3 linked regions of the Oryzias latipes genome follow. The protein of the gene in region 2 purifies or fractionates together with the protein of the main gene of each other region. This does not show direct contact. Links are inferred from orthologs where the notes say so. Each region holds a gene or a part of one and is shown on either strand. Other genes may lie near its edges.

Evidence for each region.
Region 1: the proteins of cdyl (region 2) and mier1 purify together in Homo sapiens (co-immunoprecipitation; 3 studies listed by BioGRID and IntAct, counting the BioPlex papers as one, with this or other methods). This does not show direct contact. The link is inferred for Oryzias latipes from reciprocal best matches to the Homo sapiens genes CDYL and MIER1.
Region 3: the proteins of cdyl (region 2) and ehmt2 purify together in Homo sapiens (affinity purification with mass spectrometry; 4 studies listed by BioGRID and IntAct, with this or other methods). This does not show direct contact. The link is inferred for Oryzias latipes from reciprocal best matches to the Homo sapiens genes CDYL and EHMT2.

The regions. Positions count from the first base shown.
Region 1 is NC_019875.2:16,594,825-16,604,258, forward strand, and holds the end of mier1 (mesoderm induction early response protein 1), read left to right. Parts: intron 1-791; coding exon 792-825; intron 826-1,077; coding exon 1,078-1,226; intron 1,227-2,013; coding exon 2,014-2,208; intron 2,209-3,264; coding exon 3,265-3,397; intron 3,398-3,483; coding exon 3,484-3,548; intron 3,549-3,667; coding exon 3,668-3,740; intron 3,741-3,843; coding exon 3,844-3,995; intron 3,996-4,081; coding exon 4,082-4,163; intron 4,164-4,920; coding exon 4,921-5,015; intron 5,016-5,152; coding exon 5,153-5,280; intron 5,281-5,427; coding exon 5,428-5,555; intron 5,556-7,057; coding exon 7,058-7,359; 3' UTR 7,360-8,311; downstream 8,312-9,434. Other genes in the region: UDP-N-acetylglucosamine/UDP-glucose/GDP-mannose transporter, read right to left, coding at 8,970-8,980, 9,057-9,109, 9,189-9,271, 9,343-9,421. UniProt on the Homo sapiens protein: Transcriptional repressor regulating the expression of a number of genes including SP1 target genes. Probably functions through recruitment of HDAC1 a histone deacetylase involved in chromatin silencing.
Region 2 is NC_019875.2:12,880,562-12,891,128, forward strand, and holds cdyl (chromodomain Y-like protein), read left to right. Parts: upstream 1-4,610; 5' UTR 4,611-4,906; coding exon 4,907-4,930; intron 4,931-5,100; coding exon 5,101-5,785; intron 5,786-6,286; exon of another isoform or gene 6,287-6,350; intron 6,351-8,619; coding exon 8,620-8,867; intron 8,868-9,130; coding exon 9,131-9,303; intron 9,304-9,374; coding exon 9,375-9,585; intron 9,586-9,663; coding exon 9,664-9,807; intron 9,808-9,883; coding exon 9,884-10,042; 3' UTR 10,043-10,478; downstream 10,479-10,567. Other genes in the region: protein disulfide-isomerase TMX3-like, read left to right, coding at 1,016-1,073, 1,166-1,219, 1,417-1,473, 1,554-1,683, 1,758-1,826, 1,900-2,085.
Region 3 is NC_019869.2:5,425,026-5,434,880, reverse strand, and holds the start of ehmt2 (histone-lysine N-methyltransferase EHMT2), read left to right. Parts: upstream 1-191; 5' UTR 192-237; coding exon 238-264; intron 265-3,104; coding exon 3,105-3,174; intron 3,175-3,276; coding exon 3,277-3,435; intron 3,436-4,171; coding exon 4,172-4,413; intron 4,414-4,511; coding exon 4,512-4,590; intron 4,591-4,676; coding exon 4,677-4,750; intron 4,751-4,835; coding exon 4,836-4,961; intron 4,962-5,065; coding exon 5,066-5,116; intron 5,117-6,335; coding exon 6,336-6,450; intron 6,451-7,056; coding exon 7,057-7,143; intron 7,144-7,836; coding exon 7,837-7,973; intron 7,974-8,142; coding exon 8,143-8,286; intron 8,287-8,545; coding exon 8,546-8,868; intron 8,869-8,947; coding exon 8,948-9,181; intron 9,182-9,855. UniProt on the Homo sapiens protein: Histone methyltransferase that specifically mono- and dimethylates 'Lys-9' of histone H3 (H3K9me1 and H3K9me2, respectively) in euchromatin.

The sequences.
Region 1 (9,434 bases), about 3.7 Mb from region 2:
GTTTTCTTTTCTTTTTCACCTGAAATCTATAAATAGCGAGCTTAAATTAGGAATGCTTTAGCAAAAAAACGAGTAAAGATTATTTAGCTTGCAAAAATTGTAATTTCAATTAGTATGAATAAAGTTTGTCAGCGCTTATTTCTAGAATATTCCTTATAGTTAAAGATGATGCATTTTTAAATTTTGGAATTTATTATAAATTTATATTTACTTATTTATCATATTTTGTCGGAAAAAGACGTGAAATTTATCGTTTTTTTCTTTTTTGTTGTTTCTGAGGTGTTGTAGGAATTTAATTGTACATTTATATTTTCTTATGCCACTTATATTAAACAAAACCCCGCCACACGAACCTGATTATGTAAAGCTGTTCAGCAGCGAACGGTTTCAGTTTCACATCCCATGAATTATTCATTTTATGCCTGTTTTTTTTTTAACCTTTAATACTTACATTTGAGATTTTTTGGTTTTTAAGATTTTGAGAGAGAGAGAGAGAGAGATTTATTTCGGTAATGTACAAACACAATCCTAAAACGTCAACATAAATGTTGAAGAAAATTTTACCTAAAGCAAATAATCCTCCTAATTTTTTGTTTTTTATTCCCACTTGTTACATGTTTGGCTCTTGTTTTGTTGTCATGTATTTTTTTATTCATGTTGTGTGTATTTCTGTCTTGTATTGTCTCATTCAGTACATCTTTGTGTTATGATGCCTGGATGTGTTCTGTAATGGTTTCATCTGTATTGAACTTTTTTATTTGACTAACTTTTCTTCCTTTTTTTCTCTCTAGCCTTCGCTGGGGAACTCGAGCCCAGGTACACATGGTACTAAATGCTTACACATAATTTGTAGAGGAATTTGTTTAAAAAAATAAAAAGTAAAAGCTGGTTTCCCCATCTTTGTTCTTATTTTAATGGTCTCTAAGGCATACATACATTCTGGGCTGTTTTGTTAATATTTAGGGTTACACAATATTTTGTTATGTCAAATTTCTAAAATTGGTATTATATATTGATAAATGACTTTTTGGTTCAAAAATGCTCCTTTGTTTCCTTTTTTTACTTGCACTTTCCAAGGAGGTTCAGCAGGTTCTGATGACCATGATTTTGACCCCACCGCTGAGATGCTGGTGCATGACTTTGATGATGAACGCACACTGGAGGAGGAAGAAAGGCTGGAGGCGACAGACGACACCAATGTTAATGAGATTGAAGACCTTGCACGGGTTTGTTTTATTTTAAATTGTAAGACCTTTTGCTAAATGTAATGTTATATTTCTGGTGGTATTTATTATAGTTATGAAAACCCTGTTTGTTTGTGTGTTTTTAACCTGATTTTTAAAATTTGTCTTTAATCTAGTGTGATATTTTTAATTGAAATAGTTACTTTTAACTTGTAACTAATAATGGGAATGATATATTATTCATGGATCTGATATATTTTTACATAAACGAACACATTTTCATTTCCCATCATTGTAATGCTGCGTTAACTCCAAACACGATTTGCGTCGGCCGCCTATGTTTGGAAGCGTGGCTTGTGGGAGGAGCTACCACCAAATGTTTTTGGCCTGATTGCTACAGGGAGCGGTGTCTGTGTGCATCTCATTTACGATGCATGGAAGACCCCACTTTGTCAAAGTTCAGAGATTTGAACTCTGGACGCAACACTCAAATGGCGCTGCTGCCGGACCGACGTGCCGCGCCCGATGCCCAAATCGCGCCACAGGGCCTCTGACAGCATTTGAATATTGATTTAACCTTGAAACTGGACGTCTTTATCACACCAATAACGTTTTTCCTCCTGGTCACAACCTTTAGGCTAATTTTAAAATTGAAAAAGTTCAATCTCTCCTAAAGAAAGATAGACAAACAACAAACTTGTTTTTTTCTATAAACTGAGGATTTAATAGATTCACATTGTGTCAGAGGGCAACTTTCATCACCATTCAATGTCTTACTGTGAATCAGTAATAATAGGAAGTGAACTAAACTCAGCTTTATTTTTAATAGGAAGGTGAGATGCCCATACATGAGCTGCTGAGCCTTTATGGCTATGGGGGTAGATCACCAGCAGAGGAGGAAGAGGAGGAGGAGGAAGAGGAGGAGGAAGAACCTGAGGATGAGGACGACGAGGAAGAGGACGAAGAGGAGGATCTTGATAACGATGAAAGCAGCAGAAGCACTGGGGAGCTGAAAAGAACTGAGGTAGTTTTTAGCTGTGGTCTCACTGGTTTGCGGATTTTTTTCAATGCAATTTAGTATGTTTTTTAATTTTTTTTAACAGCAGGTTGTGTCCTGCGTCCTGATTGGCTGTAGGCCTTTGCCAATCAATATCTTCTGTGCCGTGGCTCTATAATCTGTTCAGTTTGCCAAATTTACAATTTTGATCGCGAGCAGATCTCTTTCATTCCAAAATACTGGACTTATTTTTCTTTGAAAGTTTAAACTTTGAGAGTTTAAAAGAGAAAAATGTTAAATGAATAATTATGTCTGTCTTAGTAAAGTGTATAAAGTGTGTAGTGAGGGGTTATACTGCCTATGATTATATTCTAGGGTAACACTCGTGATGAACAAGTGACCACTGTCATAAGAAACTGTGATCTATTGAAGGAAGTATACAAATCACTCAGAGAGGCCTTATCTGATCAGACCAGAACATCTGAGAGAAAGTGGAGCAACTACCTCCCGTTTTTGACAGTTATAAGCCGTAAACTGTCCCGGGGCTCATACCCATGGAACCTCGGTGTCAAAAGGCTCGCCACTTGCTTGTTAAAACTTCTAAGGAAACTTACAGAATATTTTAAGATACCTTTAAGGTTTGTGTAAAATGCAAAAATGTGCCAGTGTGCAGAAAAACAAGTTATGAATGATTTACTTCGTATTTTAGACGGCCAAAACACAGAAAGCATGTTTTACTTCTGACAGGTCTTTAGTGTTGCTCTTCTCCTCCATTACTTTTACACTCTTCTTCCTCTCTAAGCCCTCTCTGTAAAAGAGCCTCCACCCTCACATGTACCACATGTTCACCATCATGGCCTGTGCGTCCTGCCTCTGTGCCCGTGTCATGGAAAACAGCGCATTGCTTTTCCGTAATAGATCTATAGATTAATGGCTGCAGACTGTTTCTTTGTTCCAGCAGCTCCTCAGTCCTGCAGCTTGTGTCTGGTTTCCTTTGTCTTAGGAAATCACTAATGGGTTGAGTTGGTCCAGGTTTGCCTTTCATTTCAATACTTTGTTGTAAATTTCTCCTTTTGTTTTCAGGGTGTTGAGGACTTTAAGACCTCGTCGGGACAGGGGAGTGACGCCCAGACCACTTCTGAAGTTCGCACGCGCTCAGTCAGGTCACTCGGCACAGCAGAGCTGATTCGCTCCCAGAAACTCAAGTACTTTGAAAGTACGTGTTTTCTGAAATCCTTCTCTTCTGCTTCCTGTTGCTGAAACCTCCTTTGCCCTGTAACTGAACACTGACTTGTTCTTCAGGTAATGATGCTGAGGAGGAGTCTGATGAAGATGAGGACTACGTTCCATCTGAAGACTGGAAAAAGGCATGTAAAAACGTCAACTAAGAAATGTTCAAATGGTGGCTGAACTAAAAGCCCACAGAATGACGAATGTGGCCCGCTCTCAATGTTTATTTATGTTACTATTTCTTCTCTTTTCTCAGGAAATCATGGTGGGTTCCATGTACCAGGCAGAGACGCCTGCTGGGTTGTGTAAATATAAAAACAATGAGAAAGGTATGAGAATTTCTCTCTGATTCGTCTCCAAAACAGCTTCAGTTAAAAAAGTAAATGTCTCAAATTTATAATTTTTTTTTCCTTCCTTTTTCTGATCTGATAGTTTATGAAAATGACGACCAGTTGTTGTGGAACCCTGAACGTCTCTCTGAGGGCAAAGTGGTGGAGTTTTTAACAGAAGCATCACGGCGGACGGGGGAGGAAAAGGGGGTGGATGCAATCCCTGAGGGATCCCATATCAAAGACAATGAACAGGTGAGTTGGATGCTTCCTGTAAATAAAACAGCTGGACGATGCTTTTTACTTGACTTTTCTTACGGTTTGTCGTTGTTCTGCCGTAGGCCTTGTATGAACTGGTGAAATGCGGCTTTGACACAGAGGAAGCTCTGAGAAGGCTGAGGTTTAACGTCAAAGCAGCCAGAGGTAAACACATCTGTTCTTGAATTCTTCCACATTTATACTTAGTGTTTTTCTTATTCAGCTGCAGCTGCTAATATTTGCTTCAGACCTGCACACATACAGTCAGGAAGCCTTCTCCATTTGAAGCCTTAAACATCTATATTTATGATAAACAGTGATACGATAAACGGCTATGGTTCAAAAGGTTTCTGAAAGCTGCTTCTGTTTTCTTCTGGAAGATGGCTGGAAACGTTGATCCCTGAGATATTTATCTACAAAAATCTCTAAATGGTGTATTTTATACATCAGTGGAATTAAAGTCCCACTCCAATGATCTATTTTAACAGCATCCCCAGTGGTCTTTTAATTATGATAATGCTGCTTTCAGCAAACCCCGCCCCCCTTCCCCTCCCCCGTTGCAGACCGGGGCAGGGAGCTTGTGGCCGTCCAGCACATTTTCGTCGCCATCACAACATTTTTCATCTGCTCCTGATTCACAACAATTGGAATAAAGAAATACTCAGAAATGCAAATTAAATCTTCATTTTCTTTATATATGGCCTCCATTATGAGAAAAATGCCACAAGAACATGTTTAAAAAGACACCCTTTTCATCGGAGCGGGACTTTTAAGATGATTTCATGAACGGCAATATGAGAAACTCTGCATCACTTCCTGCTTTTTCAAATTGGAGTTTCTTGCAGTAAACTTTTCAAAGTCATCGTTCATGGAGGAAATGCTGGCTGTGTTTTGTTTTGACGTGAACCGTTCTTTTCAACAGAGGAGATATCTGTGTGGACAGAAGAAGAATGTAGAAACTTTGAACAAGGACTTAAAGCTTATGGAAAAGACTTTCATTTAATACAGGCCAACAAGGTACGACTCAATTCAACCACATACAGTGTTTGCTACATAAGTGTTTGGCTTTAGAATAAGCAAATAAGAACTGTTTTCCTGTTCAAATGATGCTGATATTAATGATCCTTTTATGTCTGCTGAATTAAATCTTTCAGGTGAGAACTAGGTCTGTAGGAGAATGTGTGGCCTTTTATTACATGTGGAAGAAGTCTGAGCGTTATGATTTCTTTGCACAGCAAACCAGACTGGGAAAGCGGAAATATAACCTTCACCCCGGTGTCACGTAAGTTTTTGAGAGAGCATTCAAAAAAATGAAGAAATGCAAGTTTATCATCGGTTTAGATTTATGTTTTTATTTTTTTTAAATCAAGTTTAAAAGTTTTTAAAAAGCCTGGATGAACGAGGTTTTTTTTCTCCTTCTTTTCTACAGAGACTACATGGATCGATTACTGGATGAGACAGAGAGCGCGACGTCCAGCAGGGCGGCGTCGCCTCCTCCCACCACTTCTAGCAGCAGCACCAGCCACTCCGAGAAGGAGGATGGCAGCAGTCAGAACGGTGAGCCAACACTGCAACTTTCTTCTAAAGATGGGAATTTTCAGAGTGAAAAGCAAAAAAATCTCCTAAATAAAACAATCGTTTTACAAAAATAAAAGCCCCAGTCTAATTTAGGTCAGTTTATTTGTTCTAAAGTCCCACTCCGATCATCTGTTGATGTATTGTAAAAGCAATGTCAGTGGTCTTTTAGTTCTGATTGTGCAGTTTTTAGCCAAAACTCTCCTAGTTATTGTAGGACATAGTTTCTGTAGGAGTTCATCAGAAATTGGTGCGGACCAACCCCGCCCCCCCCTTCCAGTCACCCATAACTAAAAGCTCTGTTTACATGCTCTCTTCACACCCCCAGCCTAACATTACCGGTGGCGAGCAATATCAGAGCTATCCAGCCGTAGAGTTTTGAGGCAGACGTACATGGATCTAGTCGTCCACATGTGGACGCATCAGAATGGAGCGGAGCAGGGAGCACGTGGCCCCGCCCATTGTAGCTTCTACATCACACCTACAGGCTTTTTCCAAACTGCATTATTTTTGTCTACTCCTGATTCACAAGGATTTGAATTAAAAATATACTCAGAAATACAATTATAGGCTTAGTTTCGGTTATTTGTCCCTCATCATCAACTGAAAAATGCCATAAAAGCATTTGAAAAACACCTAAACCACAATTTTCATCAGAGAGATAATATTACATTTCTGTATCACAGCTTAGTTCCATCCAAAGCTGCAAAAACAACTTTTTTCCACTTTTTCTTAACAATAAGGTTCAGTTCTGTACTCTAAAGTGACCAAATAATGCGTGAAAACAATATCATTACAACAATAGAATTCACTTAACCAATCTGCTGCGATTTTTCCATCTATTTATTCTTTTATAGAGTTTTCTTCCCCACAGTAAATGAATATCATGCCCCATACAAGACACTGAAAATAACATTATCTGATAAAGTCTTTAGCTATTCTGAATGACCAATAGGCATTGAGCTTATAAAATCAGTCATTTTTCTACTTGCATTTTCTCGTGTAGTCATCTTTAAAACTTCTTTTATAAGGAATTTCACCTCTAGTTTTTATTGATGTCCTAGAAACATTGTTTTGTTTTATGCATCGCAGAAATCTAAATAAATATTTTTTTTGCTTTTTCCCCATGATGACATCATGTCTCCTCAGGCGATTAAAGAAAAGACGAGCTCCTCTTTACATCAACTGGGGTTTAATAACTATTTATGGAGGCTTTGGGAGGCTCTTTCTGTTAAATGAAGGGGACAAATGGCCCAAAAAATATTATTTTCTTCATAGTTTGCAAGAAGTTCCGAGAATACACAGTTAAATATTCTGTTCATCAATAAAGACTTAAAAATAAAAATAAAAATCGCTGCAAAAATGGCGCCATATCTTTTTATTTGAAGTAAAGCCAGTGGAAATAAAGTCAGAGGAATTGTTTGTAGTTTTTGTTCTTCCCTGTAAAAACGCTTTTTTTTGTCTTTTTTTTTTTGTCTTGACAGGTGTTACAAACCACCCAATAGATTCTTCTCAGTTGGTTCCGGTCAACCCAGTCAAACCTGAGGGCGTCCGGTCCAATGGTCCCTCTCAACCAGAGAGGGAAGCTCCTCCCCCAGTTCCAGACAACGACTCCAACGGCTGCAGCAAGCCAAGCGCTCCCAATCACGACAGAAACGGTTCCGTGGACTCGGTAGCAGAACACGCGGCAGAGGTCGCACACGAAAGGCCGGCCAAGAAGTGCCGGACAGAGGCCGAGCCCCTGAGCCAAAGCGAAGTGGAACCATCCAGAGCACACGAGAAATGACATGTTCATCTGTTGGCTGAGGAGAACCGGAACAAACTCATTCCGGCGTCTTTTACCGGGGAAACAGGAAGACGGAGCGGAGCGTCTGATGAGAACAAGCAGTTGGAAGATCTCTAAGAGAAGAGTGGAGTACACGGCTGGATTGAATTGCCCCCCACTCCTGAACTACCACAGAGAAATCATGGACTAATAGACATCTTCTATCCATCTGTTCCATTCTTTTAGAGACTGATAACATTTTGCCAAGAATTTTGCTTTTCTATTTGTAAAATAGATCACCTGTGATATTTTTTTACACAAGATATTTATATTTTTTAACCAAATAAAATCTAATAATGGGTCTTTGTTCAAGCCATTGTTTTATTGTCATGAATTATTAAAGTTGGACATGCTATGAAGCTTGCGTGTGAGATGCCAAAAAACAAAAAAAACAATGCTAAATTGGCAAAAACCCTGAGCTGGTGACTTCACCGGCAGATGTAGTTGCACTTTGACAGCATGTTTCTCGTTTTTACCGATAAAGAGCAACCCCAGCGGACATGCCTTCTCACTCTTCCCTTTTCTGTCACAGCTGTTTGTTGTTGATGATGAGTAAGCCGGGCAGTTGCGCCCCCCGCAGGTTTTTGTGTAAAGCAGCTGACATCTGTGATGTCTTGTATTATGAGTCGCCGTTTAGATCTTTGTATTTTTGGAACTTTCTTAGTGCTTTGCTTAACTTTTGTTTTTACTACAGAATGTTTGGGATTTTTGTAAACTTTGTACACATCTTCAGCAGTTGGTACTTTTCTGTTTTTTTTGCAGTTGTATTCATCCGTCTCTTAGTCTTCCTTATTTCCTGAGCTCTTTTTTTTCGTTTTTACTTTGCTTTTGTCTCATTTAAGTTGGATGTAATAAAAATTAGTCATTCCTCTTACAGCCTATGTGCTGAGCTTTGATTAAATCTGCTTTTTAGCAAAAATGCTGCCTTTAACCTCTTCATCCCAAATGTTGCTAATTCACAACGTAATTCATTTAGCTTAACCTTCAATGGAAAAAACACTGAAGATTGTTTTAAAAATCCAGAAGGGATTAAACAGCTAATCAGATCTGGATTGGGTGAAAATGCTACAAAATGCTTCTACACAGAAATTAAAGTAAGTCAGTCTTTTAAAAAAAAGGCTTTTTTTCTTTGTGTTACAGATATTCCAGTAGTGCACATGTCTCATGTCTGTATTTTAGTTCATGTTTAAATATTTTCAGAAAAAAAATTACTTTGGAAATAAAATAAAAAGATGTATTTGAAATTGATTTAATGGAATAAACAGCACTGGATGAAGCTACACGTCTGAATGAAAACATCGGATTTCTGAAGTTCAAATTGTGGCAGCCAAGCAAACTAAATGTAATCCAGTTATGCACGTTGACTTCCATGCTAGAGACTTTTAAGAAGTAACAACAAAGTGATTTATGAAACATTGTCTTTAATTAAAAGATAAAAAATAATGTTTACAGAGTAAAATAAATGCTGAAAACTGCTTAGCTGCAGTGGATGTTTGGGAATAAACGTCTGAAAAACATTGTGTTGAGTGTTCTCCCCATCATGTGAGCAGCGCCTGCCTTCAGCCTCTGCTTTACTCCTTTTCTGTTAAACATGACCAAAAACAATCTATTTAGAGTCAAAGTCTTTCAGTAACAGCATTCATTTGAGCTTTCCTTACTTTTTTGCTCCTGTGTGAAGGTGATGTAGGAGTACACCAAACTCCCAGCGATGCTGTAAGCAGTGAAAGTAATACAGCTTTCATGAAAAAGCCAAACATTTGATGTCATCTGAACAGGTCAGCCCTTCATACCTGATGTTCAAACCTATGAAGTTTGTCCAAGTGAATATATAGTCGCCGCCGAACACCATCCCGATGTATGTGACCAGGATGTTCTAGGGAGGAGGAAACGTTTTCAGAAGTATCGCAACACCTCAGCCAGCACTGCTAACCTGAGATGAGCTACCTTGATGCAGCCTATGATGGAGGTAGTGAGGGCTGAGTTGCATTGCGTGCACAGCAGTATGGAGTACATTAAAATGAAGCTGTGGGACACGT
Region 2 (10,567 bases):
TTGTTTCACATTCTGTTTTTGTGTACACAAGTGACATCACATGCACAAATAAATGACACTTGTAAAGTAGGAAGATGACATGGTTCTTATTGCACATCTAATAGGCAGAGAGGCCCTAAAAACAGAACCATCAGGAAACCACACTGTGTAAAATCCTTTGCAGCAAGCCCCCTGTGAACTCAACTTTACATGAAAAAAGAATCAAGGAAGCTGAGCAGACTTATGACGTACACTCAGCACGAACAGAGAGCAGGTGGAGCAGGCACAGAGCTTCAAATACTTTATTACAATGGTCGACACTTGCCTTATCTTAGAACAACACTTGCTTTGTTTAAAAAAAAGACATGTCTCAATTTGCTGAGGACAGTAAGAAGTTTTAACAATCAACTCAACGTTTTCTTGAAATGAACAAGTCCTTAGTGGTGAGGAAAGCTGCACTCATCAACTTCTGTTGCCCTCCTCACTGCTTTAACTTGCTGCCAACAGGCAGACAAGGCAGAACCTTTATGGATAAAACATCATAGAAGAAATCTTTTTCAATAATAACTGCTTTCAATATCTCAAACTAGTCTTGGATGTATTTTTGTGTTTTCTTATTCACTTGTTTATTGTTTTTCTGCTTACTGTGCATTTAAAATAATGTCTGACATGTTTGAGTATGAACTTTGAATGTATTTTATTTTGTGAAGCAGCTTTCATTAAAAGATATTTATACTACAACAGATAATAAAAGTTGTGCTTGATAACTTTTTTGCATTCAGGGAGTTTAATTTCAAATGAGGCTTGTGACAGACCTAGGATACAGTAGTAAGATTCACCTCTCTTTAGTTCTGAGAAGCCCTTAACTCGGTTGAGCAAAAGAAAATGGATGGATAGTTTGATAAATGCTCACTATCTTCATACCATTCTCCTGGAATTTATCATACGACCCTAAAGAGGACACTTTTGACATCAGAGTTGAAGTTCTTTGGTTGCAAATTGGCTCAGCTGAACTAACGTCACCATGTTCTCACAGGCAAATTAGTGCTACTGGCTCTGGTGGAGGAGAGACACCTATGTAGCAAAAGCCTGAGGTAACAGTCATCCATCTGTAGTCTATTCGTTGTTTAAAAGATCTGTGTTTCTGCTAACCCTCACACTCTTGTGTTTCCTGTCATCTGTTCAGGTACAAACATCTAGTAGAGAGAGTGGCTGAAGAACACAAGGAGACCTACAGCAGGTCAGGCTTTTACTTTGAAAAACCACAACAGAATTACAAAGCAAACATAAAATTGTCTGAAAGCCTCCAAAATGTATCATCCAAGATTTTTGGGTCTGATCTAAAATCACTGAAAAGCCCCAGAAATAGTCTAAAATCCTTGGAGATGTCCTTGTTGTTCTCTGGTTCCATCCATCCACCTGCTCTTCCACCTCCAGGTTCTTCCTCTTTGGCTTTATGGCAGCTGGGGACTACATCAATGGATTTGTGATGGGGTGAGTTTTTGTCTTGTGTTAATCACCATCTTTGGTTGTACTTCTGTCAGTTGCTACACGTCCTGTTTTGTTGTCATCAGAGAGGTCACTGTGCCCTCTTTGATCGCGGTTAATCTGTCCAATGACGGCTACTACCAGCCAGCTGGTCCTGTGGAGACAGAGCGCCAGCTGCTGGATTTCCTGGACGGGGTTCTAGATGGTACCATTGAGGTGAGTTGATGCAGTTTTGGCCGGGGGCGGAAAACTTGGTCTGGTATCTGATCAGTTAATTGGATGTGCCTCAGATGAAGGGAGGAAACGGCTTCAGTCAGCGTGTCCAGCGCGTCATTTATGAAACAAAAGCCACAGTGATCGTAAGTGACATCATCATATCATTGCTGGTTGTTTGTCTGTGTTTGGCTAACCTCCTGTCCTCTGTTCATCCAGCCGGTGTTCAGAGATGCTCCACTGATTGGCTGCTTTCTGGCTGGCTTCCCACTTGCCATTGGTGCTTTCTTCTGTTTCCTCTGCTGTAGGAATCAAACCATCCCAGATGATGATGAGGACACCGCCGCACTGTTAGCCTCTTCAGTGCCACAACGCAAAAAAATAAAAAACAAGAAGTCAGACTGACAGTAAAGGTCAGAAGGGAAAAACAATGCAGATCCACCTCTACAAGTCAGAACCAAACTAGTCCTGACTACTGCTGAAGTAACAGAACCTCCACACAGGTTTCAATCTGCTGCCAAAAATGCCACATTTGAGTTGAACTTGATCCAGCAGAACTCAAATCTGTCTACTGATCCTTGCATGAGAAATAAAGGATTCTGATCCATCATGTATGTTCAGTTGAGTTCATGTCAAACTTTGCTGTGGGTTTGTAAGTCAAGACAACAATGATTTATTTCAAACCTAGCCTGATCTTCTTCAAATCACAGAAATCCAAAAGTTAAAAAACGGTGTGATGAAAATAAAATGGTTTCTGTCACTTTTTGAGGTTTATGTGCAAAACCCACAAACTTCCTTTGGATGTCACCCATTAAACAATGAAACCTTTAGTGTGATAATCCCATTCACCTGAGTTTACTCCCCCTACTAAAACAGCATTCTGAAAATACCAATTAAAATGTAATTGAATATGAAAGAAGGATGCTTTAAAAATTTGATTGCTTTTAGAGTTAAAATTTAAGTTTCCTTAAACAATCCCTTGATTTCCAGGACTAGTGGTACATCCAAGCCCCCACCAAACTCTCCCTAACCCTTGTGCTATCCTAGGCACTTTAACATTGGGAGTTGGGTCATTTAGACCCACTAGACAGTGCGCTGAACCTTTTTTCTTCAATGATTTGTGATCTTCACTGGTGTCCATGGATTACATGAAATCTTTCCACCTTTATCCACCTTTGTCATGGTAGGAAGAACACGTCAATGTAGGGGTGAGGTCATCTAAGGTAGCATAAGGGTTAAAAGATCAAATGTTCATATGTTTAGAGACTGGATTTTTGATTGCCAGGTGAGTGGACCCAGAAAAACCTCAAACTTTGGCTTGTTCCTTCCAAAAGCAGCTTGAGATGGGTGGAGTAAACTCTGCTGTGCAAAATCCAGTAGGTGACGTCACAGTTGATTGGCTAGTCCAGGAATCTGCAACCTTCAACTCTGAAGGAGCCATTTGGGTTTGTTCCTCACTGAACACAACCGAGTAGCAGCTATAAAGTCTTACTTCATCCTTGATAAAAATTTGAAACTGCTTTTCTGTTTGGTAAGGATCAAAATTAAGTATCAAGAATTCTTAAAAATGTAAAACTGTTTATTTATAACCCTTGTGCTAGCTTATGGGGTCAAGATGACAATTGCCGTGTTCTCCCTGCCATGACAAAGGTGGATAAAGGTGGAAAGATTTCATGTAATCCATGGACACCAGTGAAGATCACAAATCATTGAAGAAAAAAGGTTCAGCGCACTGTGTAGTGGGTCTAGATGACCCAACTCCCAACATTAAAGTGCCTAGGATAGCACAAGGGTTAAGTGTACTTTGGTAGGCTGTTATCCTTTTCTTTACTTACTATCCTATTGGTGTTAACCTGAATTTGATTTCATTGGTTTATATTATGATCCAATAGAAAATTGTATACATAGAAAAGGAACATTTAAATATTTTTAGCAACTCCCCTCTGGACAGCTACTAAACATCATTGTGCAGCACAAGTTAAAAGATGCTTTAAATTCATGAAATAAATATGGTAATGAAAGATCATACTTTTTATTTGTAATGAAAGTGTTACTTTGTAGGTACATTCTGGTATTCTGGAGGAATGATAGAGCAAACCAGTCCTCTAGTGCAATGTCAACAGTGCTAAACATTCACACAGTTTATCTTACTATTCTAGGTACGCCTCAGCACAATAACATAACCTCAACAAACTTAAATTGAATTAATGCTAATTAGCCATATGCTTCTCATTTCTATAATTATTTTTTTCTTCAGCTAGAGAGCCACAATGGAGGGTAAAGAGCCAACCTTCAACTCTGGGGTCTCAGGTTGCAGACCTGGTTTAGTCTGTATATGTTTTGTCACAGTGTTTACTGGTAAAGACACCTCATCATGAACATGAACAATGAAATCGGTCAGATACAATTTTTTATGGGTGAAATATTTTTAAAAACTGAACACACTTTTAGCAAAAAGTAGTCTTTAAGGTGTGCTACACAAATACTAAAGGTGAGGCAGTATTCTTTAAGTATACTTTTCATATTGTACACGTAAAATGTTCCAATTTAGTCTGAAGAAGTATTTAGTCAGTACACTTCATACACTATGCATACTAGGTCTATAGTATACTTGACACAGTATACTTACGTATACTTAATCCAATCAACTTTGAGTGGACTACTTTTTGATAAGGGAAAGGATACTACTGTAAGTCATGTAATTTCAGCTGATTATTAAAGATAACTACATTTAATTATAGTTAACTCTAAACTAGACTCAAGCAATTCTTTTTAGAGCTGTTTAAAATTAAAGAATTGACAACTTAAGAGAGTAAAATTTGAATTTTCTTAAGTCCATCAACTACCAAAAACAACAACACATAATTCAAAAATAACTCCAAATGACTCCAAAACTGCCAAAAACCTTCCCGCAAATGTCATAAATAAAAATAAAGCACTAAACAGCAAGAAGTTTATTTGAAAATATGTAATTTTGCCTTATTTTCTCCGTTGGAATCAACGGGAATTTGTTCCTTTTATCTGACACGAGACTTTTATTTTGGAGAGCGGAAAAGGCGTAATTTCACACAAGCTAACAGCTAACGGCAACGTCACGGGAGACCGAAGCGGAGCAGCCGGTAAACGGACGTACGCGGCTGCACGCGCACAGACTTTCAGACTTTCTTCATGTTGCTGCTGACGTAAAGAAGCTTCTGGAAGCTTTACGTGCACGAGCACGCTCTACATGGCCACGCAGGAGCTGTACGAGGTGACAAAAGCTAATGCTAATGCTAACCGTGAAGTTTAGGATGGTTGGCAGGTTTTTAAAGTTTATGCTGTGACGTCAGTATGCTAGGAGTAAAAAAAAACAACCCCTCTGATCGTTACTAGCTGACGTCACCGAACAACTCCTCCATGACGTTGACGTGTGTCCCACAGGTGGAGAGGATCCTGGACAGGAGAAGGAGCAGGAAGGGGAAGGTTGAGTACTTGGTCAGGTGGAGGGGCTATGGTGCAGAGAGTGACACCTGGGAGCCTGAGAGTCACCTGTCCACCTGTGTGAGTTACGTTCAAGAGTTCAATCGCCAGTATGCTGAGCGACAGAGGGAGGGGGCGTTGATGCGCTCCACCCGCAGCCTCGCCCATCGACCACAGTGTGGCCCGCCACCCAGTTCCCCTGCATCTGCTGACCTTAGCAGCGAGGTCAGCAGGGCCTGTGTCCAGGTGAGGACGCCCCTCAGTCCCACTCACCTGTCCTGCTCCGCCCCCTTAACCTCACCTGACAGGTTTACCCCCTGCGCCATCTCTGCCCCTCTGGGGGGCTTTGCACGCCGAGGGGTGGACCTTTCCAAGACGGGCATCAAGATCCTGGTTCCAAAGAGTCCGATGAACTGCCGCCCCGACTCAGAGGAGTCCCCCAGCGAGGCGGCGCACAGCTTGGAGGCGGGCACTCAGGAGGCTCACCTGGTTCCGCCAGAGGTCGCCCTGCTGGAGAAACCTGTAGTGCAGCTTGGCCCTGGGGAGGAAAGGGCTCGCATTGGAACCAGGCCCCGGACCCAGAATCCCCTCTCCCCGCCCCGGGCCCCCATCACACCTGCGGCTGTTCGCTCCCTCAGCAGCTCAGGTGAGTCATGTGGCAGTCACGTGGAGCTCACACCCACGGTTTTTCGAGCCGGAACTTGACCATATGAGAATTTTATTTAGAAACCCATTCCAGAGAGACTACTGAGATGAAAGTGGTGTTTTAAACATGTTGTTGTGGTATTTTTATGATGATGGAGAACAGGCTTTAGGAAATGAAACTTAAAATGATATTTCTTAATATTTCCTCAATCACACTGTTGTTAATCAGGAGACAAACAAGCTGTTTGAAAATGCCTGTGCCAGTGATACAAGTGTTACAATCAGCGAGCCACAAGCTTCCTGCTGTTCTCCGTTCTGATGCTTCCACGTGTAGACAAATAGATCCATCTTTGTCTTTGTTTTCCTCGTCTGAGCTGGCATCTGGCTCAAAACTGTACGGCTGATTATCCTCAATATTGCTCGCCATTTTGGTTGCAGCGGTCTGTAAGCTTTTGGGAGAGCGTGTAAACAAAGGGATGATGGGAAGTGAGGAAAGACTTACTCTGTGCGAACAGTCTTGCCCCCAACTCCCAGGTGACTTTCTAATCAACTCCTGCCGCTCTGCCCTAAAAAAAAGACATGGGTTTATTGGCTTTGGGTAAAACGGCATAATCCTCATAAAAAGACCACTAGGAACAATTTTACAAAAGATAATTGGAGTGGGACTTTAACAGGTCATTTACAACTCATTAACTAATAGTTTTTTTAAGAATTTGTTAACTAGCTAGAATGGATAGGAGTGGAACTTTACCTTTCATCCATGAAACCCCACATCTGATTTTGGCAACATTTTTAAACAAGCTTTGGTGGATATTTACAGTCTAACTTTTTCTTTATTAAAGACATAAAAGTCAGATCATCTCACAGGTAAGTTAACAAAAAACAAAAAAAACTTGTTTGCAAGAATCAACGAAAGCCCAGTTTTCTTTTATTCCTATCAATATTATTAGTGTTGGGTCCATCAAGTAGTTGAATGCATGCTAGGTCTTGGTTCTGGCGAAAGCCCGGCAAATTCACATGAGGCAGTTGAGGTGGTGAGATTCACGTCCCAAAGGTTTTAACTCGACTAAAACTTATTTAAGCTCTCGAGTCCTCAGAAAGACATTCTGAGGTTGGGAGCCGTGGATTTTCTTTTTCCCAGGTTTACACCAAAAATATCAACGTTTTGTGTATTTTACTTGGTTTGTTCTTTGGAAAACACACTGATCTATTTTGAAAGCGTTCCCAGTGGTCTTCTAACAATGATAGTGGAGTTTAAGCCAAAAAAAAAAAACAGTCATTTTCTTGGACATGGTTTCTGCAGAGTGGTCAGTAGATCATTAGAAAATTACCTCTGAGTTTTTAGGTGGGACCATTAACCCTCCACCATCCCTATCTGTTGTGGAAAAGAGTGGAGCAGGAAGCTTGTGGCTCTGGCTCAGCGTATTTTCTACGTCACAAATGAGCTCTTTTTCAAACACATTGTTCCAACCATCAGATTGATTTCATTTAATGCCCATTTGAGGCCATAAAAGTGGACCCAAGGCATACCACATAAGCTTCTTGGGTTCAGACGAAGGAAGTTCTCCGCTATCTAAGTTGAAATATCCAGGAAACAGGTGCCATGTCACCTGGAGAGATGGTCATAGATCCACATGAAGCTTAGTGTCATCAGCATAGCTGTAGAATTTTATGCTTATTCTCTTGATGAGAGTGGCAGATTGTTAAAGCAACAAAGAGAAGGCCCTAAAATAAAGCCTTGGGGTTCTCTACGTCAGTATGGTGTTTGGAAGAGCAGTTATTAGCAAACAAAAAACAAAGTCTTGTTGATACTCTTTTTGCCACACATCACACCTGAAATCCCGTTCTCTCTTTTCTACCCTCTTTTTCATCCTGGACAGTTGACCCTAAGTCCTCCACCTGTTTCACCTCTACTCCCTGGAACCTCCAAAACAAATACGATAGATCAGTGTTTTTCAACCAGTGTGCCGTGGGAGATGGTCAGGTGTGCCGTGGGAAATTGCTAAAACATTTCCCATCTCCAGGATATCAGCTCTTTATTCATCCAAACAGGCCCTGATAAAACACTGAGAAGTTAGGAATATAAAAGATCATAAAATACTTTTTCTTTGGGTTCATTTGATTACATTAAAGACATTTTGATAAGAATGACGGTGCCGCGATTTAGCCGTAGCTTCAGCTGTTTCCAGAAAAGTCCCGCCCCTTTAACTGTCTCCGCCAATCATTCTTGGAGGCTTAATCATACGTCATCAGTCTGACCAATCAGAAGTGGTTAAAGTATTCACTTCCTTGTTCCGATTCAGCTCATTAAGTTGCTTAGTTCTAACAAAAAGACCAGCTAAAGCTCATATTTAGCGGTGTAACTTTCCGCGGGATACGGTATCAGACCATGGAACAAGTGAACAAAACAATGAAGCTCAGAGACGCTAGTCTGTCTGGCGTTTGGTGGTTGTTCGCACTACATCTCCCATGAGGCATTGGGTTAAAGTGAAAGCGTCTCAGCGCACAATGAGTCTTCTTTTGACGTCTTGAAACCACAACGAATACACATCAGACAGTTTTTAAATCTTCTAATTTAACTTTTATTACATTTTTTAGAAAAAAAACCAACTGCAGCTTCCAGCTTTTTCTGCCACAATCATCACAAAAATGCATGTGAGATTGCAGAGGGACTGTAGATCAATACAGACTATGAGTTTCTCCTTTTTTTTTTTTTATGCTGGTGTGCCGCGGGATTTTTATCAGGGTTAAAGTGTGCCGTGGCTCAAAAAAGGTGGAAAAACACTGCGATAGATGAAGCTCTGGGCTTTTCTGATGGGAGTTTTCTTTCTCCAGCAGGAAACTCGCCGCTAATGGAGGCCGCCGCTGCCACCTTAATGTCAGACGTGGTCACTGGGGCAACAGGTGCAATGGGCAAACGGCGTCTGGAGGAACGCTCTGCCTTCGACAAGCGCCTGAGGTTTAGCGTTCGCCAAACGGAGAGCGCCTATCGATACCGTGACATCGTGGTGAAGAAGCAGGACGGCTTCACTCACATCCTGCTGTCCACCAAGAGCTCTGAGAACAACACGCTCAATCCTGAGGTAAGGCCACGCCTAAAGGCTCCTGCTTCAACACGGCACTGTGATGTCATTGACATCAGCAAGGGGCTGCAGAGACTCTAGAGCAGTTCACTGAACTACTCTCCCCTGTGGTGCTGATGTGTTCTCCACCAGGTGAACAGCAAGAAGGTCATGCAGCCTTATTATGCTATTTTATCCCAGAATGCATCAGGTTTGTCCCGATGCTTCCTCAGACAGCCTGCTCCTGTCAGTGACATCACTGGCCTCTGTTCTCTTGTCTTCAGGTAATGAAGGAGATCCAGAGCGCCATGGCAACGGCAGCATCAGATGACAGTAAGCTGGTGCTGCTCGGCGCCGTGGGGAGCGTCTTCTGCTGCGGCCTGGACTTCCTGTATTTCATTAGACGCCTGACGGACGACAGGAAGAAAGAGAGCATCAAGATGGCTGAAACCATCAGGTACCTTTTGTGGTGCGGCTTTGATGCTGTCGTTCGTCTGCTGCTATTACCCTCTGTCTTCTCTTCCTCAGGACCTTCGTCAATACTTTCATCCAGTTCAGGAAGCCTATTGTGGCTGCAGTGAACGGACCAGCTGTGGGGCTCGGAGCCGCCCTCCTGCCGCTCTGCGACGTGGTATGGGCCAACGAGAAAGCCTGGTTCCAGACGCCATACACGGCCTGCGGGCAGACACCAGACGGGTGCTCCACCTACACCTTCCCCCGCGTCATGGGTCTGGCCTCGGTCAGTCCTCCCATCCCTTTAGCCTGGCATGCCCTTTAACCTTTACCTTTGCTGATTTTGGTTCTGGTTCTGGTGCAGGCCAGCGAGTTGCTGCTGAGCGGCAGGAAGTTGACGGCTCAGGAAGCGGGCTCTAAAGGCCTGGTGTCACAGGTTCTGTGGCCGGCCACTTTCACGCAGGAAGTGATGCTGCGGGTCAAAGAGCTGGTAGCAGTGGACTCGCAGGTCTGTTCCTGTGTCGGGTTTCTGCAGGTTCAGCTGTAGGTCAACTCTGACTGTTGTTCTGCTCCCCATCTCGCAGGTTCTGCTGGAGTCCAAAGCCCTGATGAGGAGCAGCAGCCGCAGTGCTCTGGAGCAAGCCAACGAGCGCGAGTGTGAGGCTCTGAAGAGGGTGTGGGGGTCTTCGCAGGGGACTGACTCCATACTGCAGCACCTGCAGAGGAGAACTGAGCTCTGCTAGAACCTGGACCCGGCTAAATCTGGGCTCTTCTTTCCATGACCTGGATTCAGCCAGAACACTTGAGCTGAACTCTCCCACAGCTGACCCAGATGTTCCACCGGGTTCTGTCCAGGTTCTCTGTGGGTCCAGCTGGTGAGACCGGCAACAGATTGGGGGTTTGGATGGTGACTAAAACGGCAGTTTTAACAGAACTGGCCCAGTTCTGAAGGCCCTGAAGGACAAAGTCTGATCCAGAACAGGATTGATCCGTGACGGTCCGTTTCCTGATGTGAATTCTGTAGCAACAACAATGTTGGTTGTTTCATGTAAACAAGTTTGTGTCAGACGGCTCTGTATGGAGATCAGGTTCTTCAGTCAAAAGTTCTGAACCAGATTCTGGTCTGGACCTGATCCTACTTTTCTATTTGTATTAAAGTAAGAACAAACTTGAGCTCTATCCTGACTTTTATTGAAGCTGAGGGTCATAGGCTCAGGTGCTCAGCGTTTCCCCATCGGGCTTTGAACCCTCAAATCAAAATTGAGTTT
Region 3 (9,855 bases), on a different chromosome or scaffold from region 2:
TTCTATCGCCTCGTTTCTCCGTAGAGAGTGAAATTCATCACAATGAATCACAGACCGCCAGTTTGACATACGAAACCGACTTCGAATCGGTTTCCACGCGCAACTTTTTGTGGAAAACGGCCACGAGCCACGAGCACGTACACTGGTTTCTGATCAGTGATTCGGAATCAGTGTGCTTCGAAGGGGCGGGGCTGGAGCTGTGACGTAGCACGTTCAGCCGACGTGCTTCGGGGAAACATGTCGGCGTCCCACACAACGACAAAGGTAGCAACTGCAAAACGGGTTTACGAGCCCTTTTTACGCCTTTCTATTCTATTTTTACATACAAATGCGCATTAGTTTATTGGACATAATGAAACACAAGAATCCCGCATACCGTTAGCGTATTTGTGTATGTATAGATAAGAATTATTGTCTTGTAAGCAGTGTTAGGATGCTAGCAGTGCTAGCATGTAACAGTTATAAATGAGTATTTAGTCAACATTAATTCCTACACTTGACTCCCATTTATGACTATTTGCTACACATTCAACCCTTTAAATATATTTTTTTAATGTTTTAAATTATTCCACTATTTATCACGGAGTTCGTTCTTGTTGTTCTGTACGCTAAGTTCATCGTTTAAAATAGAAAACAAAGTGCACGAAAATTAATTTGTATTTAAGAAATATATATTTTTAAATGATTTTTGTGTTTATATTTGTGTGAAAGAGAAAGCTGGATATCTCTTGTTATGGGCTGGTTGACATGGCAACCGGGAATATAGGAGTTAGCATCGCCGGGAGGTGAAATTTGAAAAGAAAGTCTTAAGTTTTTAGATCAATCTTTTGTGTCATCATTTTTTAAATATAATTGTTAGATGGTATTTAAGTAACTAAAGCAGATTGCCATCCTACATACTTAGTTTTATCCTCAGCAAAGATTTAGGAGTAAAGCATTGATTTATGTGGAGAAAATATTATTATTACTAGTGTTTTTTTCTGGCAACATCAATTGAAAAAAACATTTTTTTTTCAACAAATAGTTTCCTATCAGTGTAAAAAATATGTGTTTTTTTTACTAGCTGTTTTCTCAGAGTCCATCACCTCGTGATAAACTGCAGTAAATGCATGACTTCTTGGGTTATTTTTTCTTTTAATCAGACACGTTTTGTGTTTTTTCACATACCTGACATGTTTTGGCGGCATCTGAGTCGTGATCAGGTGGTGGGGATGTGACAGGTGGAGCAGAGGAAATACTGTTATTTATAATAATGGTATTTCCTCTGCTCCACCTGTCACAACACCACCACCTGATAACGAGTCTGATGAAGGCAGAAGTGATTCCGCCGAAACGTGTCAGGTACATTCAGGAACATAAATATTTGGACATAGACAAATTCTTTCTAATTTAGTTTTTGTACATTACCACAGTGAATTTTAAATAAAACCACTTAGATGCCATTGAAGTGCAGACGTTCAGCTTTTATTCCATGGGTTGAACAAAAAGATTGCATAAAAATGTGAAAAACTAAAGCATTTTTTGAACACAATCCCTTCATTTCATGGGCTAATAAGTTATTGGACAACTGACTTCCATGCTATTGCATGGGCAGGTGTGGGCAATTCCCTTGTTATGTCATTATGAGTGAAGCAGATAAAAGGCCTGGAGTTGATTAGAGGACTCGTGCTTGCATTTTGAAGAGTTTGCTGTGAACAGACAACATGCGGTCAAAGGAGCTCTCCATGCAGGTGAAAGGAGCCATCATTAAGCTGGGAAAACAGAAAAAAACAATGCGAGAAATTGCTACAGTATTAGGAGTGGAAAAATCAACAGTGTGGTACATCCTGAGAAAAAAAGAAAGCACTGGTGAACTCAGTAACGCAAAAAGACCTGGACGGCCACGGAAGACAACAGTGGTGGATGATTGCAGAATCATTTCCATGGTGAAGAAGAACCCGTTCACAACAGCCAACCAAGTGAACAACACTCTCCAGGAGGTAGGCGTATCAATATCCAAGTCTACCATAAAAAGAAGAGTGCATGAAAGTAGATACAGAGGGTACACTGCAAGATGCAAGCCACTCATAATCCTCAAGAATAGGAAGGCTAGATTGGACTTTGCTAAAAAGCATCTAAAAAAGCCAGCACAGTTCTGGAAAAACATTCTTTGGATGAAACCAAAATCAACCTCTAACAGAATGATGGCAAGAGAAAAGTATGGCGAAGGCGTGGAGAAGCTCATGATCCAAAGCTCACTACATCATCAGTAAAACACGATGGAGGCAGTGTGATGGTCTGTGCATGCTTGACTGCTAGTGGCACTGGGACACTAGTGTTTATTGATGACGTGACACAGGACAGTAGCAGCCTAATGAATTCTGAGGTGTTCAGAGACAGACTGTCTGCGCAGATCCAGGTGAATGCAGCCAAACTGATTGGGTGGCGTTTCATAATCCAGATGGACAACGACCCAAAACATACAGCCAAAGCAACTCAGGAGTTTATTAAAGCAAAGAAGTGGAATATTCTTGAATGGCCAAGTCAGTCGCCTGATCTTAACCCAATTGAGCAGCATTTCACTTGTTGAAGACTAAACTTCAGACAGAAAGGCCCACAAACAAACAGCAACTGAAAGCCGCTGCAGTAAAGGCCTGGCAGAACATTCAGAAGGAGAAAATCCAGCATCTCGTGATGTCCATGAGTTCAAGACTTCAGGCTGTCATTGCCAACAAAGGATTTTAAGCCAAATATTAGTAATGACCATTTCATTTGTCCAATTACTTACGAGCCCATGAAAAGAAGGGATCGTGTTTAAAAAATGCTTTAGTTTTTCACATTTTTATGGAGTCTTTTTGTTCAACCCATGGAATAAAAGCTGAAAGTCTGCACTTCAATGGCATCTGAGTTGTTTGATTTAAAATTCACTGTGGTAATTTACAGAAACTAAATTAGAAAAAAATGTGTCTGTGTCCAAATATTTAGGGTCCTGACAAAACACAAACCATGTCTGATAAAAAAAAAATAACCCAAGGAGTCAGTTAATCTTATAGACACAATGAACTTTATTGAATATCCATGGTTTCGGTTTCTGAAAATCTCTTTACTGGTCTTTTCTTTGATAGGATGACTCAAAAAATGTTGATACAGAAACATCCAACAAGCCAATAGCAAAACCAAGTCAAGTAAGCCAAGGTAGGTTTGGAACTTTGATGATTTCACTTTATAAAATTCATGTTTAAGATTTTCTGTGTGTGACTGTTCTTCTTTTATGGCTCATGCTTGTGTGCATACCAGACGATGAAGACCTCCCCACGCCTGATGATGCTGAGAAAGCGATGCCCACTGAGGCGGTGCAGTCACCGCTGTCATGCCAGCAAACACAGAGTGAGGGTGGCAGTGTTGCAGAGGATGAAGATACTCTGATCCATGCACCATCAAATAAACCTGCAGCAGGTGAGAATACGCTTCCTCCTGATTTCACCTGGTCCTTGTAAATCGGTAATTTCTTTTATCTGGAAAATAGATCTAAAGGAATTTATGTAACTTGGTCAAAAACTTGCATTTCCTGTCCAAGTGTATATGTGAATCTGAAAAACTGGTCATAGATGATGCTGAATTCTGCTTAATTACTAAAGCAAATTGTTCACTTCTAAAAGAAAATTAATGAAATGAAATTAGCTTAATCTGTATTATTTTTTCTATTCAAAATGAAAAATAATCAAAATGTCCAGAAAAAAAAGGTTGACAAAAAAATCTATAAAAGGCCCCCAAAAACCTGTAATGATAAAGTTATCAGGCTGTGAACTTGATTTTGAACCCAAATTTTATATTTTAGCCTCTTTATGGGATTAATATTCAATCATTGAATACATTGAAATAAAATTCATGTGGCTTTTTTATGTATTATCCCCTTCATGCCTGAATTTATTTCCAGCTATTAAAAAGTTTAATATTTTTTTCTGCTTTCAAGCTGATGCTAAATTAAAGAAATTTTGGAGCAGAAGTGGTTCAATGTGTTTTTGCATCAACAGGCATTTAGGAGTTATATACACTAGATGGATACTGTGACAGATACAGTAACATTTATACAAAGTGCTCTTTTGTTAGTGCATCGTTCATTACTCTAAAACAAGAATATACAATTGTTGGATTTTGTCATCGATAAAAGCTTTTCTCATTTGTCTCACAGGACACGAAGCCAAGTCTCCTACCTCTGCCTCTTCATCACTGGCGTCCTCCGCACCTTTAACGTTGTCCCCTGGCCGAGCAAAGATGAGCGTTTGTGTCCCCACCGGGAGTAAATCCTCTCCTCCACTTGCTCCATCCTCTCCTCCCTTCGCCGCCTCGACGTCTGTCTCCCCGTCTGTTTCTCCCAGCCCACCTAAGATCCACCGGGCCCGCAAGACCATGAACAGACCCCCGTTTGGGCTGGTAAAAGAAGACTGAAGAGTTGGTTTAAATAGCTGCTTTTTAGTAAACATTTTTGTGACTTTTTTTTTGTTTGTTTGTTTCATGTTTTTCTTTTTTAGAACACTGGGTCTGGTGAAGTTGCTTCAGCATCCCAGACCCCGTCAGGATCGCCCTGCCTCACCTCTGAGCCCGAAAGCTGTCAGTAACATTTAAAAGCTTTGGTTTACCTTGAGTTAAAATAAACCCACCTGTTTCATTACATTCATGTTTCTTTATGTTTATAGTGGCCTTAAAAAAGAGGAAGCTGGGTCATGTATCAGGCAGCAGCTGTGAAAACATTCCAGATTATTCTCCAACTGTAAGTTAGTGGTTTTCCCCCTTCCTTAAGTAAAAGTCTCCGTTTTTATTGGTGGGTTGACGTGTATTGTCGATTTGAAATGCAGGAGGAGACGTTGTTTCATAAAAAGGTGGAAACTGCTTTGGCGAAAAGCAAAAGCTGCGTGAGGAAGACCAGGGATGAAGGAGAACAGAGCCAGAGCTCCACTTCATCAGCACAAGATTCTGGAAACGTGTGAAGCTTTGATGCATTCTCCTAAAACCTCGTCCTTTTAATTAAACATCTGGTTTCTCTGTTTTTATAAAAATTAACTTTTGTCCTTTTCGTTTTGATCAGTTTCAAAACGGCGTCGATGCGAGTGAGCGCGCTAATGACACGGAGGATCACGTGAGTAAATTTAAACTCAAAAAATGCAAACAGTTGTGTTTTTAATGCAACATTTACAAATTGCAACAGCTGAAAGGAATAGAGCACTGAAAACAACATAAAACAATTATTCTCTCAAATTAATAATTTGTGACAACTAGTATTTTGGGTGCACCAATTTGTATTTGTGTGCACAAAATAGTACTTTGTGGCCATTAAATATTTTATTTTGTTAGCACTTTGTGTCACATTATAGTATTTTCTTTCTTACAAACTAGTATTTTGTGTTTTCAAACAAGTATTTTGTAGTCACATATGAGTATTTTGTGCTTACAAGTTAGTATTTTGTGCTCACAAATCAGTATTCAGTAGTCACATATTAGTATTTAGTGGGCAATAATTAGTATTTTGAGCTCACACATTAGTGTTTTGTTGGAACTAATTAATGTTTTGTTGGCACTAATTAATACTTAATGGTCAAAAATTTGTATTTTTTTGGGCACAACTTAGTTTTTTTTCATCACAAATGAGTATTTTGTGCTCACAAATTAGTACTACATGGTCACAACTTATCATTGTATTAACATGTGGTCACATATTAGTAGTTCGCACTCACAACATGCTAATAAAATACTCATTTGTGGCTACTAACGATTGACTTGGGGGAATAATTTATCTTTTTTTTATGTCCAAGGCTCCATAGTAAGGGGATCTAATTGATGGTTCACGGTCATCATATCTGTTTTATTTATTGTTGTTTGATGACAATGGTAAATTCAGAATCATAAACCCTAACAGTCTGCCATAAACACAAAAAAAGTGTAGAAAACGTGAAAATCCAGAAACCAGAAAGACTTCTGATGAAAAATTTCGGAGTTATTGATTGTAATTTTTTTATTTAAGTTTCAAAAAATCTTTTACATTTCAGATTTCCAGTTTGTCTTTACATCAAGATATTTGATGACTCTAGAGGAGCGTTAGGATTGGTTGAGTAGTCAAATTAGTTTTTGACCCTTTCTTAATTTTTTTCAGGTTTCCCACCAATGATGGAACAAATTTACACCATCAAATCTTTATTTTGAAAGATATTTCAGTGTCAAACTGCAAACTTTTAAACTTTAGTTCCACAACCCATTGAAGTAAAAACCAGGAGCTGTTAGACTTAGTCCAGGGGAGCAGAATGATAATGATAATGCATGCCAGTGTGCGTTTATCTACTTAAATAACTTGTGATTTTCAGCGTTTGGAGTCGGAAACACCAAAAACCGTCTTGAATGAGGGCGAAGAGTCTTCGTGGTTACTGTCAGGTCGAGACAAAAAGAGAAGCTCGGTTGACTTGGTGGAGATGGAGGACGGTGAGTGGTCTTTTCTGCGCAGCGCGGTTTCATAATCAGTCCTGTTGTTTGTGCTTATGGACCATAAAGAACGTTATTAAAGTGAAACTTAAGTTCCACCAAGGCTATAAAGTCCCACTGCAATCATCTTTTGATTAATTGTCAAAGTGTTCCCAGTGGTCTTTTAATTATAATTTGGCTGCTTTTTGGAGATAATTCATCAAAAATTTACCTCTGAGTTGTGGGCGGGACTGTCAGCACGGAGCAACGCCGCCCCCCTTCCCTTCTCCTCCCCGTTGCTGAGAGCTGGGAGCCCGCCCAGTACATTTTCTACTTCAAACTATGATCCTGATTCAAATCAGAGACTTTTTTTTCCGTCTGCTCCTGTTTCACAACGATTCAAATGAAGAAATACTTAATTTTCATTAAATGTGTCCCCATTATGAGAAAAAAATGCCACAAGAACATGTTAAAAACACTGTTTTTAAACAAATCTTAAAAAAATATCTTCAAGATGCACAACTGTTTTGCATTAAAAGGAGAGGATAAATGATTTTACTGTAGGAATTATTGTTGTGTTGATCCTCTCATATCTCCTGACTGCTCTGCTCTTCTGTTGGTCTTCAGAAGAACAAGCAGACGAATACACCGAGGTTCCTTTGGGTGACCTGGACATCGCAGCTGCCGACAGTCTAACTCTTTCCCCTCCTCCTGGTGGGTTTAGTCTACAACTACATTTTTGTTGACCTCTGACCTCGAGTAGAGGCTGCCGTCTTAAATGAAAACAATGATACATCACCTTTGGTACCAGCTACAAATTTAGGGATTTCAATCCTAACTCCTCGACCACCATTGGGTAGCTTCGCGTTTGAACGGCGTTAGCGCGGCGAGCTCGCAAGAGGGAATGTCATCTCTTGTTTGCACAATTTTTACTGGAATATTGTGAACATTTAATTCAAGAACTGTCGGCTCAAGAAGAATGAAACGCTATAGCATGCAAAATAAACACACTAGGAATGTGGGCGTGGTTAACAAAAAACCTCAGTTGCCAAGGAAATTCAAGTTTACTTTTGCAGATTTGTCTAAAAATGACACAGAGCTGTTCGTCACCCCAGAAGATCAAACATATAATGGTTGCTATGGAGATAAAACCCACATAAAAGCTTTTTAAACAAGTGTTTTTTCAGGGTGGGGTGGGAAGGGGGTGTAGCTCATGGAGGTAATAAAACCGCATGAGCGGTTGAAGTTTAAAATCACTTTAAACTTCAACATTTAAAGTGAGCTTCAGAAATAAGCAAACATTTTCTCCAAAATGAGTCTTGAAGCATTTTGTGTTTGTGCTTTTTACGACAATCGAAAGGACACATGTTCAGATCTTGGTGGGTTTCTCCTCCATCTTCCCTGCAGAAGGAAGCGACGCCGGCGACACGGAGAGGCTGGAGGAGCTCCCCCTGTGCAGCTGCAGGATGGAGGCTCCTCGAATCGACAGCAGCTGCCAGCGCATCAGCAGACAGTGCATGGCCACGGAAAGCCTCAACGGAGAGGTCGGGGAACCAACCCTCGTCTCTTAAATAACAAATCCAACAAAAAATAAAACTGATGGAGAAATGAAACGCAAAAGTTCATCAGACAGCTCAAACTTGGAAGTTTTTTCCTTAAAATAAAGGATTTTTATGTTTGACATAAATGTCCCACCTTTCCGTGGCGTTTCAGCTGCGGGCGTGCACCAGCTGGACCGTGAAAGGTGAGACCATGCGACCATCCAGCCGGGTCTCCCTCATGGTGCTCTGCGACGTCCATCGCTCACACATGGTCAAGCACCACTGTTGCCCAGGGTGTGGCTACTTCTGCATAGCAGTAAGTGTGAGGAGGAACAGATGTTTGAAATATTTGGTCTGTTTGTGGCGAGTTAGAAATCCGTCGGTTTTCCTCTTTGTATGATTGTTTTAAATCTTCATTTTTCATATATTTCTCCTCATCTCTTTAGACTCTGCTTAATCCTGTTTTTAATTTTTCTGTATTTTCAGAGGATGTTTTTCTTTTGTCTGTCCACCTCAAACCTGGTCAGGTTTGGTCCATTCTCTTCATTTATATATTTTTAATTCTTCTTTTGCAGGGGACGTTCCTAGAGTGCTGTCCTGACCAGCGCATCGCCCACCGTTTCCACCGCGGCTGCGTGACCGTGCTGAGCAGCGGGCGCAGCAGAGCCAACGGCGGCGGGATGATTTTCTGCCCCCACTGTGGGGAAGATGCCTCAGAAGCTCAGGAGATCACCCTCCCCTCCTCCAGCGCCGCCGCAACCTCAGCCGCCACAGTCGTCACCATGTCCGCCTCCTCCACCACCACGCCATCGCTGCCCCCGACTGCCCCTTCGGGACCCTCCCTCAACGCCTCCACAGGAGGCACGAAGGACGAGAAGATGCCGGAAAGACCCGTTAGGTGAGCTCAGATGACCTTATGGCTGCCTTTGCTTGTGAAAGTGTGGTTTCTATTGATGCTTTGTGTTTTTCTTCATCAGCGCTCGGATGCAAAGCCACGGCTTCTTCACGCTGACCGTGGAGCAGCCGCCGCAGTCGGCGCCCGTTGCAGCGACCGTAACCGCCGCCACCACCCCTCCAGGAGAGGAGGGAGTGGACAGCGTGGGGCCGTCGCTCTGCATGCCGAATGGGAAGCCGGTCTGCCCGAGCGCACTTCCACCAGGACCCAGCAGGGCGGCGCTGCAGAAAGCGATCCTAACACAGGACTCAGAGAGGTCTGGTTTACAGTTTCATACAGCTGCACTGAGGATTTAATAAACCTGTAAAATGCACATATTTGAACTACATTTAAAATGCAACTGTTTCAAAAAAAATGTTTAAATCAGTTTAAAATAAAATACTTACCGGTAGTTATAGTCAAATTTTCAAAATGTTTTGACAAATGTGTGTTTAAAAAACATTTTTAGCAACACAAATGTGAAAAATGACTGAAGACAAATAAACAGACAAATATACACAAATATATGAACCTTATTTGAATTTTAAATTGAAGAAACTGAACTGTAATATTCTCAAGTATGCACCATGATGATGATATTCTACATATTATATTTTATTATATTTTTTACATTTTTGATACTTATCTCTCTATGTTTAAGCTCACATCCTGCAGAATTCAGTGGTTTTCCAAAACATTTTTTATTTAGGTTAACCAGAATAACTTTAAATTAGTGAGATATAACATGTGAGGGCTGCACATTTTTCAGAATATTCCAATCTTTAAACATCTTTTTCACAAAAACACACTTTAAAAGAGGCATGAAATATATTCTGATGGGTCCTGTGACCTTTTCCATCAGCTAAAATAGTTTAGTCATTGCTCCTCTTGCAGAAAAACGATCATTCATGTAAACATTAAAAAAAAAGCACAAACAAAGAAACAGTCATT